Linked DNA regions of Nothobranchius furzeri. Each later gene encodes a partner of the first gene's protein in a complex. Links are inferred from orthologs where the notes say so. Each region holds a gene or a part of one and is shown on either strand. Other genes may lie near its edges.

What was found. The genes of interacting proteins can lie anywhere in the genome.
Region 2: surf1 (region 1) and smim20 share a complex: the UniProt entries of both Homo sapiens proteins name them as parts of the MITRAC (mitochondrial translation regulation assembly intermediate of cytochrome c oxidase complex) complex. The link is inferred for Nothobranchius furzeri from reciprocal best matches to the Homo sapiens genes SURF1 and SMIM20.

What each region holds. Positions count from the first base shown.
Region 1 is NC_091746.1:62,106,584-62,108,885, forward strand, and holds the end of surf1 (surfeit locus protein 1), read right to left. Parts: intron 1,719-2,302; coding exon 1,527-1,718; intron 1,449-1,526; coding exon 1,376-1,448; intron 1,122-1,375; coding exon 959-1,121; intron 857-958; coding exon 775-856; intron 703-774; coding exon 636-702; 3' UTR 533-635; downstream 1-532. Other genes in the region: rpl7a (large ribosomal subunit protein eL8), read left to right, coding at 5-109. UniProt on the Homo sapiens protein: Component of the MITRAC (mitochondrial translation regulation assembly intermediate of cytochrome c oxidase complex) complex, that regulates cytochrome c oxidase assembly.
Region 2 is NC_091742.1:58,396,476-58,400,235, forward strand, and holds the start of smim20 (small integral membrane protein 20), read right to left. Parts: upstream 2,294-3,760; 5' UTR 2,201-2,293; coding exon 2,092-2,200; intron 1,839-2,091; coding exon 1,782-1,838; intron 1-1,781. Other genes in the region: man2b2 (epididymis-specific alpha-mannosidase), read left to right, coding at 2,757-2,897, 3,052-3,198.

The sequences.
Region 1 (2,302 bases):
TCAGATCCGTCGTCACTGGGGAGGTGGCATCCTGGGCCCCAAATCCACAGCCCGCTTCACTAAGTTGGAGAAAGCAAAGGCCAAGGAGCTGGCAACCAAGCTTGGTTAAAATGTTTGGAATAAAAAATCTATGTCCTAAAATTACTGAGTTTGTCTATCATTTAAAGTTAGTGTTGTACAAACTGTTAAGTTAAAGAATCATCTCAAATGTATAAAGGTTAGTTTGATTAAATTTACTTATTCTTATCAATTTTAGCAGAATTTCTTTGTACCGTAAAGGCAAGGTGAGAAGAAACTTTGTGGATCCTTTAGTTAAAAGGTCAGATGGTTTTCATGGGTCTGATATAATCTAACTGATCTCAACTAATCCAAGTTAAACCTGCATTAGTTCTGTACTTGTATAAATGTGTGAACAGCTGGAGCTTCACTGTAATTAAATTTCTAATGAAAGTTTTTTTACCAGCTAGCTTGGTTTACGTTTATTTGGCTCTTTATAAAACAGGTGCAACTCTTAGCCACTTATAGCTTCAAATAAAATTCCCACAACCAAAGATTTTATTTCTTGTTGGATAAATAAAAGTACTGAGCAAGCTGATATTGGTATACAGTAGGAAACATTTCTGTTGCAATCTGAATTACATTTTAATCTTTTTGATGAACTTGGCCCACCACATGTAGGACGTAGCTGCACACAGGCCATACCTGCAAAAGGAGAAGGAATATTTATAAATCTGTTTCCTGGTTTTAAAAAAGATAAAGGTTCACTGAACACACCATGTTATTATATACTGCATGTGTTCGTTCCTCAGAGTGACTCTGGTCTGTCCACCAACTGGCCCTCCAGGGATTGTGCTCTCTGCGCAATACAGAACATCTCAAATTATGAGTTTTGTAACAATGGAAATACTAGTTTTGAAGCCAGCTGAAACTTTTGTTTGGATTGTGATGGAGATCTTACCGAAGTCTGCGTCAATGAAAATCGGTGCTGCTCCTGTGACGCTGGCCATGGCCTCCAGGTCACGGTAATGCCAGCGGTTTCTGTTCACATCATTGTTTGGTACAAATGGTTTCCGACTCTCAGTCAGCCTAACGACTCCCACCACATCCACCTCATCCTCCACCTGCACGAAAGCAGCACAGCTGGCGTTAAAGGATTAAAAATGTCAAATGATGGATTAATTTTTGCTAAATTGAATTTGCATAAAACTAAAAACCAGATTAATGAAGGCTAACAGTGACACTTTCAGCCAAAAGAAGATTTAAACAGATTAGGTTTCAGACGCGTGCCTTTAAATTACAGTGAATATAGGGTAAAGATAACTAAATCAGTCAAATCTTGTCTAAAATAAATGTCTTGGAATACTAAAAAACAAACCTGCCCCTTCATCCTCGTTTCTGGTCTGACTTTCTGCTTTGGAACATATCCTCTGTTCACCAGGATTGTGGTGCTGCAGAGAAACGAGCAGCTGCAGGTTAGTTCTTAAACTATCAGCTGTGATGTTAGGAACACCGTCGTGCGTACTTACCCAAGGTCGGTGCAGTGGAACGGGGTGATGACATTAGCGCCGATCTCTCCACTCGAGGACAGACTTCCAGCCTCTCTGGCTTCCTTCTCCGGATTAACGGGCGAGCGGGGCATGACATATAGCTCCTTGGAGTGGTCGTAATGTCCACGTACTTTTACCCTTCTGTACTCCAGCTCATTCACCTCAAGAGGACTAGTGTCCAGGGAGGAAAGGGACAAGCAAATCTGTACATCAATAAGGTGAGGTCCATGAACTCTTGACAGTATTTTTCAGCAGCAACTAATGTCTGACACAAGGGTTTTCCGTCAGACCAAGGAAGGCAGCAACTTGCTCACACTGTTTCCAGTGGGGATGAGGAGCTATTGATGTCAACTGGGGCCATAGTCAAGCGGTGGAAGGGATACTTTGAGGAGCTCCTCAATCCCACTGACACGCATACCGAGGAGGAACCAGAGCTGGTAGACCTGGGGATGGACTGTCCAATCTCTGGGGCAGAAATTGCTGAGGTAGTCAAACAACTACGCAGCGGAGGAGCCCCTGGGGTGGATGAGATCGGACCTGGGTATCTCCAAGCTTTGGATGTTGTAGGACTGTCTTGGTTGACACGTCTCTGCAACACTGCGTGGTCATCAGGGGCAGTTCCTGTGGAGTGGCAGACCGGGGTGGTGGTCCCAATTTTTCAATGATAAATGACCCGCACTTGTATAGCGCTTCTAAGGACTCCAACGCGCTTTACGCTACAGTGCATCATTCATCCATTCACACACACATTCACA
Region 2 (3,760 bases), on another chromosome or scaffold:
TTGCAGCCCTACTTTATTATATCAAGGAACTGCTCTGGAGTGGCTCTTATCTCTCTGAGCGCTCCTTCTCTGTGGCCGTCTCCAAGTTTAGGTCCTCCACCACCTCTCTTACCCATGGTGTCCCACAAGGTTCTGTGCTGGGGCCTCTGCTCTTCCTCTTCTATCTGCTTCCTCTTCAGCACATCCTGAGCTCCTTCAAAGGAATCTCCTACCATCTTTATGCAGATGACATCCAGCTGTACATCTCCTTTAAGCCCCATGAGATGTCTAAGCTGCAGATGTTACACACCTACTTAGACTCTATCAAAACCTGGATGGCTGGGAGCTTTCTACAGCTGAATGAAGATAAGACTGATATCCTCATCTGTGCCCCAGACAAGCTGGTTCCCAAAGTCAGAGACTCTCTTGGTCAGCTTGCTTCCCACACCAAACCTTCCGTCAGGAATCTTGGCGTGACCTTTGACCCAGCTCTCACCCTGGATTCTCATGTCAGTTCTCTTGTTCGCTCTTCCTTCTTCCATCTCAGGCACGTTGCTAAGCTGAGTCCCATTCTGTCCCACTCTGAACTTGAGATCGTTACCCCCACCTTCATCTCCTCACGCTTAGACTACTGTAACTCTCTTTTCACGTGTCTGAGCAGAACCTCCCTGAACCGTCTACAGGTGGTTCAGAATGCCTGTGCTCGGCTTCTGACCAAGTCCTCCAAACACACCCACATCACCCCGCTTCTCCTCCAGCTTCACTGGCTGCCAGTCAACTTCAGGGTTCATTTCAAGATCCTGGTTCAGGTCTACAGGGCCTTACATGAACAAGCACCATCTTACATTGGTGATCTTCTTAGTCCCTACACCCCCAGCAGGTCCCTGAGGCCAGTGATCAAAGCCTACTGGTTGTGCAGCACCAGGCTAAAGACCAAAGGTGACAGATCATCTGCTGCTGTGGCCCCCCAGACTCTGGAACTCTCTCCCCCTGAGCCTGAGATCAGTGGACTCAGTGGTCTCCTTCAAAAAGCAGCTGAAGAATCAGCTGTTCAAAGTGGCTTTTGCATGACCTTCTTCACCACTCTCTCTTTATTCTGCTCTCCCCACCTATTCCACTTTCCTCAGGATCCACTGATTTCCCTCTTTCCTATTCACTCTCTCTCTTTACATTTTCTAATCACAATTGTCTATTATTTTTTTGCTAATTTTAAATATATTTTAACAATTTTCTAAATTCTTTTTGATATTTTTACATTTTTTGTTTATGTGAAGCACCTCATGATTTTTATCTTCAGAGGCACTATAGAAATTATATTTTCTTCTTCTTCCTCTTATATTGCAGTTTTTGTGGAAAACAATACATTCATTTTTTTCTCATTGTACACACAGAACCCCTTATTGACAGAAAAACAGAGTTTATGAATGCAGTTTTATGAAAGACTAACTGAAGGGCAGAACGAGCTCTACAAAAAAGAAGTTGAACTTCTTACAGTCCTAGAAAATGCCTTGGACCCACGGATAAGTGAGATAAATAAAAATAATAATTAAAATTTAAGATAATGAGCTTTAAGGGTACATTTTAATAAATTGATTTTGTTAGTTGAAAAAAGCTGAAAGTGATTTAAGGGTTGGAATTTAATTAAATGGGAGATAAATCTACTTTTTGTATCAAAACACTGAATATACAGATAAATAACAGAAAGTAATGGCGGCAACAGCTGGGTAGAGTCTGAGGGAATGGAGTGACCCAGATAACAGCCGATCACTATTGCTGATTTTTGTTTTATTATTAGTTCTTACCAACTGGCTGCACATCTGCCTGGTTAATTCCTGCCCGGTTTACCTTTTGGACTTCTCCTGGCAAAATCACAGAAACACAGAACACAAGATTAATATTAAAACATATTTGTTGGTTAAGATTTTTATTTTATTTTTGCTGGTTTGATTTCTTCACTACGGGATTAAAAACTCTGTCATAGAAAGTCAGTGGTAAACAAGCTAAAGTTAGCTAGCGTTTCAATCGTGTCAAACAACATTTAGCATTGCTGGATTTCAAGTTAAAACACAATATGAAGCAGTTGAGTGCTCGTGTTGGAAAATAAGCACTTACTGTAATCGTCTTTGTGTGTTAGAGGATAAAAAAATATGGGGTAAAACGCAGCGGCCACCGCCGTAACGAAGCCTCCGAATATTAACACTATTTTAGCGTTTTTGGACATTTTCTTACATCAGAGGCGGTCTCTCACCTCCAAGCGTGTTTACTTGCGTTTACAGCGACAGCTTCCGGCCATTACGTCATGATATGTTCTACATAGAAATGTGTCCGCTGAAAATGTTCCCAAACTAGACATCAAAATATTTTCCGTCTTGCTAACTTTTACACATTTTAGCTTCAAAGAACAAAATTGTCTTTGACAATATGAGATAAGTTCATTTATTTGATATGTGTGAGCTTATTATCCAACTGAACACTGAGATTTTTTTGTTTTATTTCAGTTTGCTACTTGCTAAAATTTGTTTAAAAATAACTTATGAAGATTTTTCCTTATAGCAGTTTTTTAAAATTATTTTGAACTATATAAGTGTGAAATAGCATGGGCATGATTTAAACACAATAGGGGGCGCATTTGAATGTAACACCAGTGTTGAACGTCACTCGCGTCACTTCTTTTGGGCTACCAGGGCTTCCGTATGAAATGCCAGTCATTCTAAACAACAACATGATAAGGAAGTGAAGCTGGTGGATTTTGTCGAACGAATTTTCTCATTTTCAGGATGGAAAAAAATATGTTTTTTACAGTTTTTGTGTGTTTTTGTTTATTTTGTTCACATGAATCGACAGCTGAGGATCAGCCCATTCAAACGTTTGTCATTCCTCACAGTCACATGGATGTTGGCTGGGTTTACACCATTCAGGTAGTGGAGGGTGATCTTGAATTCCAAATGAATATGTGTGTTTTCCCCTCTAAACGTGCGTGCGTGCGTGCGTGTGTGTATGTGTGTGTGTGTGTGTGTGTGTGTGTGTGTGTGTGTGTGTGTGTGTGTGTGTGTGTGTGTGTGTGTTTTGCAGGAGAGCATGCATGCCTATGCAGCTAACGTGTACACCAGTGTGACCCAGGAGCTGTCAAAGTACAAAGATCGAAGGTTCATCGCTGTGGAACAGGAGTTCTTTCGCCTGTGGTGGGACACTGTCGCCTCAGACTCCCTAAAGAAACAAGTAAGAACTCAGTTCTTTAGTCAGATGATTGTGTCTGCATTCATCAATGAAAATATCAGCTGAAATTTTCATTCTTGGGGGCTTAGTTACCAGGAAAGACACACATTATGATCCCATTTTAGTTTTCTTGAATCAAAAACACCAAAATAAGACAATCTTTATTTATGGGTACATACATTTGCCCCTGTTTGCTTTAACTAGTGGGGGCGTGAGCCGTGGGGAGGTGCAGTTTAGTGGTACTACATTGTTTGTTTTTAAATAATTCATGCACTTTTATCCTCTGCGGAGCACTTATCTTTATGTTTGGGTTACTTTTCAACACTTTCAGTTCCAGTAAAGGTTAGGACAGAACTATGTGGTGGTCGCGCCCTTTTTTCATTCCAAGAATGTAAGGAAGTTGGAAATTCAACATTCCATGTTGTGACTGGTTGCATCATCCATATGCAACAGGAATGCTGCTCTGATGACCAGCAGCTCTTGTCGTTTGCCTCTAAAACTGTTAAAAAAGAAGCCGGAGTTCTGTATCTCAGGTATTTTTATCCAAACATCTCGTAGACATTTT